Linked DNA regions of Arabidopsis thaliana. The protein of the gene in region 2 interacts with the protein of the main gene of each other region in a pairwise test. Each region holds a gene or a part of one and is shown on either strand. Other genes may lie near its edges.

Region 1 (4,847 bases), on a different chromosome or scaffold from region 2:
TAGGACCTTAGATGTTTGAATATATATTTTAAATAATTATCCTAAATGATGTTTTAATATAAAGAGTAAACCAAAATATGTTGGTTTGTATTACTTAGATTAGCTTGTAATCTTTTTATTGAAATGAAATCTTCACATTAAAACCCCAAAAAAAACATGTTGATGTATTGTATACACTTGGTTTGTTTCTGAAATATTTCTATAGAGAAATGCAGTTAATGCGTAAAGCAAATGGGCGCATTATATATGTAATGCGTATGGACCATTTAAAGGAGAAAAAGCAAACCTTTGTTTCGTCGGAGAAAAAAAAAGGTTAGAAACGGCGCACACAAAAATGTATTGTGGTCCAAATAAATAAAATAATACAAGACCCATGTGACATCATGGAGACATATGTTTATAAATTAAAAATAGACCCCTCGCAAAGACACAAACCACAACAAACTCTAACCATTATATAATCATATAATCACAATAATGAGCAGTAGCTTTCTGCCTCGCATCAAAATCAACACCCCATTCATTTTTAATTAGAAAAATATAGTATTGAGCTAATCCAAGCATTATTCTATCACGTTATTTAGTCGATCAAAAATAATCCCCACAATTAATATATATTGAATGTGTTATACAATAAGTGTTTGATAATCAGACAATTAATTAACTTCTCACAAAAATTTATATATTTGTGTGAAACTTAAATTTAAAAATCCATCGCACTGAGCAAAATAAAATCAGAAACTAAAAATTTGTCATTTAAGATAAATTGAATTAAGGAAAATATTTTTTTAATAATTGAAACTCCGGTGGAAATCAGGAGGAGCGACATCTCCATGCTGAAACTCCGACGAGTTCTGTCCTTTGCCAACATAGGAGAAGTGAGTTATGTTTCTTCTCGACGTGAAAGCCTCTCACTGGCGTCCGTTGGACTAAACACTCGGCTTGAGACTCCGTGAAGTTACTGTGCGTCACCGGTGAGAAACCCATCTGTAGAAACATCGCTTGCCACGTCATCATCGGCCTTTCTATCGGACGGCTACGATCCAACACCAGCTTCTCTATCTCCGGCTGTATAAGAAACCTCTCGATCTTCTGCATTGCGTCGAGGTTGGCGTTGACGGCGTCGAGGGATTCGAAGAGAGCGGTGTGTGAGTGCAGCGAGTGGGCGAGCTGTTGAGAGAAGGGCAGATCCGTCCTCTCGCATCCTCTGTCGGAGCAGACGATGATCGTCGGAGATAGATGCTTCACGAAACGGAGGACCAAAGGGAGGTGCGAGAAGGACGCGGCGGAGATGTTAACGGCGACAGCTTCTTTCTCCGACGAGTTAGGCCACGAGATGGAGCCGAGGAGGTCTAAGCTCAAAACTTGGATGTCAAGGGAGATGTTGATCTCAGAGGCGAAGTGCTTGAGGTTGTCTTGAGTGAAGCCAAGTTCGAGCTGGTCGTGGTTCGCCGGAGAAGCGAAAACGGTGATCTTGAGGGAGAGAGGAGCGGCGTTGTCGCGGAGAACAAGCTCTTGCATGAGGGAAGCCCATTGGCCACCGTAGCCGATATCGAAGTCGATGATGTGGAGACGGTGGAAGCCATGGAAGGACTCTAAGAGGGCTTGGTTGGAGGTAAAGTTGGCGAACTGAAGAACGGGAGAGATCTCTGAGAAGGATTTGTAAGCAGCGATCTTGAAGATGAGGGAATAAGGGTTTAGGGTTTGGGAGACGTTGTGAAGGAGATTATTGAGAGCTTCTTTGAAGTAAAAAGCTGCTCTTTCTAATGGCTTCCCGACGGGAGAAGAGAGCTGTTGATTGAGCCGCGCCAATATCCCCTGAGCTAGACACGTGTCGCTCTCTATGACCTCTGCTGCCTTAACCAGCTGCTCTGTTATCCCCACGGGACCAGGGTTGAGCCGCTTTGCCGGCGGAGGTGTATGGTGGTGGTGGCCGTAGAAGATAGCCGCAGGATTCTGTGTGTAGTGGGTTTGACTTTGGTTGATCAGAAGACCGGAAACATGTGACGGCGGAACAGAGTGGTGGTCTAAACCGAAGCCGGTGTCGACGACTCCGAAACCGGGTGATGAGTAGTCAGAGTCGTGGAAGGTGGGAGATGTTTGGAGAATGCTGTTGAGTTCAAGAGAGGGATCTGTGGAATCTCCCATGATGAGTCCGAGAATGCTCTGTTCGTGGTCATGAGGAACTTGCTCCTCCCAATCACCCAACCCAATGGCTCCGCATTGCTCATCGGTGGTGGCGTCGCCGCCGCCTCCGACGGCGCTGTTTCCGCCGTGAGAGGAAGACACCGTGGAGGAAGAGGTTGGGCTTATGAGGGAGTCCAGAACAGAGGTAGGCTCCGCCGCGGGAACTTCTTCCTCTTCTTCTTCGCCGCCTCTTGCTTTGCGGTGGCTCAAAAGCGGAGACGACGGTGGTTGGGGGAAGGAAGACGAGAAAGAAGAGAAACAAGAAATCCCCTTCCCTTGAAACTCTTCAAAGGGTAAGGGCATTGCAGACGATAAAAAATAGTGTATTTGTCTTCTTGAAGCTCTTCTTCTTCTTCTTCTTCTTCGTTGTTGTGATGTGGTGTGGTGAGGTATATTGGATGCGTGCAAGATATTAAAGTGGCAAAGTGGGCTTCCTCCTTTCTTTTTCTCTCTTATTTCCGTTTCCTATCATTTTGCCTTTGTCATTAACTTAGCTGATTAAACAATTCATCAGCTTCTCTTACACAACATTTTGTTAATCTTTGCTTTCTAATCTTAACTATGTCTTCTATTACAACCCCACTCTTACATCACGCGCGTGGCTTGCAAACTCCTTTCAGTGACATGAACATGATGGTAAACAAAAATACTAAATGTTATGATATATTTTTAAATATTGTATTTGTCTTCTTGAATTACTAGAAACTATTAAAAAAAAAAAACATTTTCCCCATATTTTTGATGTTGTACTGTATATTTAGATGTCATAATACTTGCCCAAAAAAAAAAAAGGATGTCATAATATATTGGGAATGTTTTTGTTTTCTTATAATTTATTTTCATGATTAAAACTTTGTGGCTTGCAAACTATATTTGGGATATTGTTTTGTTTTGTTTTATCTCAAAGGTGCTGTCGTTATTTCCTTTTGTGTGATCTTTGTCCCCAATAGTTTGTTTTAGGGTTTGGACAAGCTTTTGGATCATCTTTATCAAATTAACCACTCAAATCACCCAATCCATTGTACGAGCTAAACCACATATTGCAGTGCTTATATTAATTTGTGTTTCCTTTTTTTTTTTTTTTTTGCTACGGACATAATCTAAATTTATAAATCTAAACAAAGTGGAAACAAAAACTATGTATATATTGGAGTTACATCAAAAATATCTGTTTTGTTTTTCTTGTTTTAACTTAACGAGATACGAATGATCGTCATTATCTGAAACATTCATGTACTACTTATAACAAAGAAGGAGTTATATATATATTTACGTGTATATAAAAACATACTTTCTTTGGTACATCTTTTCGTTTGAAGGAAAAAAGTGATTGAAGATCTGTGAATGATGTTTCTTCTGTGACAAGTTAAATGCACGAGAGATTGAGAAAGAACGAGTGGTAGTCCTTTATTGAGCAGACAATGGAAGTCACCAATCACCATATATATACATATATAAATATATCTACCAATGGAAAACCCTATAATAAATAAATGAATAAAGCAATCAGAAAAAACAACAAGAAAGAGAGGTGGGTAATTGATGAAGACAGATTAAAATCGGACCAATTTTGCAATGAATGGCGACAGTTTCATTATCATGTATTCATGATAATGAAAAAGCATTTACTTTTCTATGCAAACCAATTCATTAGTATAAACAATATCAAAGAAAAAAAAAAAAGTATAAACAATATCAGATTCTGAATCTATCTTTTATATGCGAATTATGACCGCACAAAAAAACACAGAGTTCAGTTTCTTGTATAGTAATTTTTAGTCCCATATTATAATACTTGTTAAGTACCATAAATATTTGATGATTATTGATAGTTAACTTACTTTATATAACAACAAAAAGTTAAAATGTTCATTTTTAAGATTTAATTAGTTTATATGTTCCCATGTGATTTGCTAACAACTACTTCTCACACTTTTCTTTCTTATACAAAATTATTATAAATCTTGAAATGATCGCGAAACTGTATTAATATTATTTCTTATTGACATACATAATACACCAACACATTTTCAAGTTTCATGATATATTAATATAATATTTGGTATATTGGAATACTAAATATATGTGTGTGTTAACTTCGTGAGGGTGAAGTAAGTTACGTGGTGAAAACATGTTCTTTTCTCTCGTCTCAAGGCACCCTTCATCACAAGCAACACACCCAACCCCACTCAATCGGATAGTTCGTATGATGAACAGAATCGTGCTTTGCCATAATTAGAGGAAGAAACAAGTCAGCTAAATATATTAATCTTGTCAAACAATAATTTATATTGAAGGATAACGTGTTAGAGTTTGTATGCATGTAACCATATATAAATGATTGCGTCGTTCATTTTGTATTAGATTTTAGGATGATGATTAGTTAGATTAGACAAAAATTGATCAATTATTATTAGGAGATCACATGGGACTGATAAGGATAAAGAAAAATAGAGAAGATTTCTTCATCTCATTAGAGCCAAAGTAATAATAATTATGATTAAAAAAAAAAAACCAAGATCGGCGGGAAGTAATTAACAATTACCACAATATAAAGTTGGTAAAGGAATTTCCTTATTTCTTTAATCATATACATTTCCTTAAACATAATCTAACTCTCATTTGATCATTGACAACACATTACTATGATTCGACAACAA
Region 2 (4,166 bases):
AATTTGAATATAATTATTACGTACACAACTTGTTGGTCTCCAAAGTCGTTCCACAAATGGCCATGGCTAATGAATTGTCTAAGTCATTAAATAGACATAGTTTTTTTTTTTTTTTGACCTATTAAAATCCAGCTTTTCAAAATTTCAAAATTAATCTATCGACTAAATAAAGAAGCTAATATCTTATTTAATGTTATATTAGCTTTCTAATATATGGTATAGCTTATCTTTAGAATTCAGTGGGAAAAAAAGAAAACAGATACAAATGTTTAGAAGAATGATCAAGTACTAATTTAATAGGCTTTCTGAGTCTAATGTTCATTCCACTAATATATTAAACTATCTTTAAAAGACGGCTAAAACATTTGTGAAGAGTTACTATTATTGGGGAAAAAAAGAAGTCATTTGTGAAGAGTCCATTATAATATCTTGTGTGTTAACCCCTATGCCAAGTCCGTTAATGATAATATTTTGTCAATTATTTTACATGAAATTATATGCCTTTTCTTTATAACTTTTGATAAAAAAATACTGAACAAAGATCGTAAGCTCAAGCTCATATAGAAAGATAAGTTCGTACCTAACAATTATAAATATATTTGATAATTGTGAATCCGTGAATTATGTTTTGCTATTAGTAAATGAAGTTTGAACTAAGTACTATATATATACATTAATCACATAAAACAGAGAATCAGTCTATAAATTTCAAGTAAGTCAGCGTAATTTCTTTTTGTTGTTTGTTTGGTCAAAGATTAAAAAAAACGTAATTATGTTGCCAACTTCACGCCCTAACAGCTAGTCATCGTTTTGCTTAGAACGTACACAAAGACACAACTCCTGAGACATGGCTCGTGGCTTTGTCGATTTCTATTTATTTAATTTAATTTACCTATTTTACCTTAATCTTCTTCAATTTTTACAAAGTCTACCACCAACATCCACGTTGAACCGGTTTATCTAACATAACTATACATCCAAATTGTTCCCATACTAGTTATTGTAGATGTTTCTTCACAAGAATTATAACTATGATGAAAATATAGAGAATAATACAAAAATAAGAACACTATTCTTAACACATATGACATTGTATTATCAATTTTAAAACTTACAAAATTGTTAGGTAACGTTCTGATGAAAATTAGTCTGTAACCAATTAATCAAAGAGCATAGGCTTTATATATATAATTGATTAATCATAACTTTTAAAATAGCATGTTAAATTTCTATCTTAGTATATCATTTGTACATTTTTAACTTTTTATATTAGAATAAAATAAAATAAAATAAACTATTACTTATGCACCTATTCCGTTTATCTGGATATCTTAGAGTAATATACATGTAAGCTAAAATTGATTTGGCTAATATTAAAACGTCAATATAATTTTAATCATCTAGGCGACTAATTTTAAAACACGGTATATAATTAATTAAAATTTCTCTCGCTGTTAAAAATATTATGTTCATTTTTGTTGTTGTTGGAATGTTCAATTATGCACTTTGCTACAAACTATTAAGGTGTCAAAATTGATTCCTAGAAAAAGACAAAGTACACACTTCAGAACTCACAAGTCCTCGTTGGCGTCGATTGACGTCAAAAGCTTCAATTAATAATATAGGGCCAAAACGTGAAAATAATAAATTATAAGGACTAAACAACAATTTATACCCTAAACAAAATGAGAGAAGAATGACAGAAAGCAGAAAAAAAAAAAAAGAATGTAGCTTTTAAGAAAGAAGGAAACATCATCAGAAGCTTCTCTCTCAGATTGACAGAAGAATAAGATTCCAAGCTCCTCTCTTTCTTCTCTTAAAGAAAAGATGTTGTGTAGAATGGTGGTGGTGACTGGCCGGAAAAAGAAACCCGGTTCGGTTCCGGTTTATCTGAATGTATACGATCTCACACCCATCAATGGCTACGCTTACTGGTTAGGACTTGGGATCTATCACTCTGGTGTTGAAGGTAACTCCTTCTCTCTTTTTCTTGGAAATTATTTGTGGGTTTTGGTTAAAGCTTAAAACTTTTGAATTGTAGATTGAAAATTTCTCATCTTTGAGAGGAAGAGATTTGATTCTGTTTTAGATTGTTTAGTTAAAGTAAGAGACTTTTTAAGTTTGATGTTTGTTGGTTTTGTTTTGTTTGTTTGTAGAAATTGAAATAGACTGGTTTCATTTTTCAATAGATTCCAAAACTGGAAACTTTTTTTGACCCATTTTTGGATCAACTCTTCTGATTTTCTATTGAGTAATAATAATCAGAACTTGGTTTTATGTGACTATTAAAGTGAGTTGTATAATATCTTATTATTAGATATGTCTGTCCAAAAATGAAAGTATGTTTATATATTGAGATCTAAGTTGTTGTCTTAATGTTTGCTTCCTAATACAATGTTATGGTTTTAGTTCATGGAGTTGAATATGGTTTTGGAGCTCACGATCATTCGACTACCGGGATATTCGAGGTGGAACCGAAGCAATGTCCGGGTTTCACATTTAGGAAGTCTATATTGATTGGAAGAACTGATTTAGATCCTGAAAACGTTCGTGTCTTTATGGAGAAACTTGCGGAAGAATATAGTGGAAACAGTTATCATTTGATTACTAAGAATTGCAATCACTTTTGCAATGATGTTTGTGTGCAACTGACTCGAAGATCGATCCCTAGTTGGGTTAACCGTCTTGCTCGCTTTGGTAAGAAGTTAGAGAACAGAACATTTGATTTTTACTCTGTTTTAGTAAAAGCTCATTAGGTTTAGGTTTGTTTTTTTGGGTTTAGGTTTGTTTTGCAACTGTGTTCTGCCGGCGGAGTTGAATGAGACTAAGGTGAGGCAGGTGAGATCAAAGGAAGAGAAGATTCCGGAAGTAGAGAAGAAGAAACTTCGGAGTAGATCAAGTAGGTTTCCACCTGGTCCTTCGCTTTCTTCGTCGGGTTCTTTAAACCGAAGCAGAAGAGGAGAAAGGAGAAGACAATGTCTTCCTCCATCACCAACTGTGAGTGTTTAGCTCTAGTCCTAGTAAAATTATACCTTTTTGTTTCGCAATTTGATTCGGTAGTAATGTTTAAGCTACAAGATATGGATTGAACAAACATTTTCTTGATAGTAATGGTATAAGATTTTCACATTACATATTTTGAACTATGAAATTATCAAGTGAAGTGAAGTTCAAAAAGAAAAAAAAAAGTGAAAGTGAAGTCAAGTCCATTGGGTAAGGACTGGGATAAGTTGAAGTGGAACTTTCTTGGGACAAACAAGTCCATATGATTCTTCAAGATCAACATCTTCTATGTTCATTCCTTCCGGAAGCTTCCAGTCGAAACGGTAAAGAAGATTGATAAGAGTCAAGTGTACCAATGCCATACCTAATCCCATACCAGGGCACATTCTCCTTCCGCTACCAAACGGCAGCAACTCAAAGTCTACACCTTTATAGTCAATCTCGCTATGCATAAACCTCTCTGGGATGAAAACTTCTGGATCTTTCCAAACATTTGGATTCCTTTGAACAGCCCATATGTTGACATAAATCCATGTTTTCTTTGGAATGTCGTAACCTCCAATCTTTATATATTTTGAAGCCTCTCTTGGAATCAGAAGTGGCACAAGTGGGTTGATCCTTAATGTTTCTTTAATCACCATTTTCAAATATTCGAGTCGTTCTATATCTTCTTCTGTGATATCATCTTTGTTTTTGATCACTTCTCTTACCTCGGCTTGCGCTTTCTTCATAACTCTTGGGTTTTTAATCAAATGTGTCATCACCCATGTCACAGTGTGGCCAGAAGTGTCCACTCCAGCGATAAGAACGTTCTGCAAAATAATATATGGATTCACAAAAGTTAATCACTATGCAACACGTAAAGAATAAAATTATATATGGATTAACTAAGTAAGAGGTTCCCATTACTTACTAGAAGAATTCCTTTAGTGTGGTTTCGTGTAAGTTGAAACTCTCCAAGTCCTGTCTCTCCCTTTTCCATCTTTAGTAGCAAACCAATGATATCGTCTTTGATATTAGTATCTTCTAGGTGATGCTTTATAGATTGATCAAAAAACGAATCCATTTCCTTAAAAACCTTCTCACATTTGCTATGTAACCCCGTGATCCTATCGATGATTCTACCAATAATCGGGAAGTAATCCGCTGCTGCGAAACGCCCC

The links. Proteins that work in one complex are often made in the same cells at the same time.
Region 1: the proteins of AT5G25170 (region 2) and HAM3 interact in a two-hybrid assay, tested with the Arabidopsis thaliana proteins (one large-scale study listed by BioGRID).

What each region holds. Positions count from the first base shown.
Region 1 is NC_003075.7:56,616-61,462, forward strand, and holds HAM3 (GRAS family transcription factor), read right to left. Parts: upstream 2,881-4,847; 5' UTR 2,491-2,880; coding exon 814-2,490; 3' UTR 525-813; downstream 1-524. UniProt on the Arabidopsis thaliana protein: Probable transcription factor involved in plant development.
Region 2 is NC_003076.8:8,691,430-8,695,595, forward strand, and holds AT5G25170 (PPPDE putative thiol peptidase family protein), read left to right. Parts: upstream 1-1,582; 5' UTR 1,583-1,827; coding exon 1,828-1,969; exon of another isoform or gene 1,970-2,399; coding exon of another isoform or gene 2,400-2,409; coding exon 2,410-2,697; intron 2,698-2,782; coding exon 2,783-3,009; 3' UTR 3,010-3,200; downstream 3,201-4,166. Other genes in the region: CYP71B14 (cytochrome P450, family 71, subfamily B, polypeptide 14), read right to left, coding at 3,201-3,815, 3,917-4,166.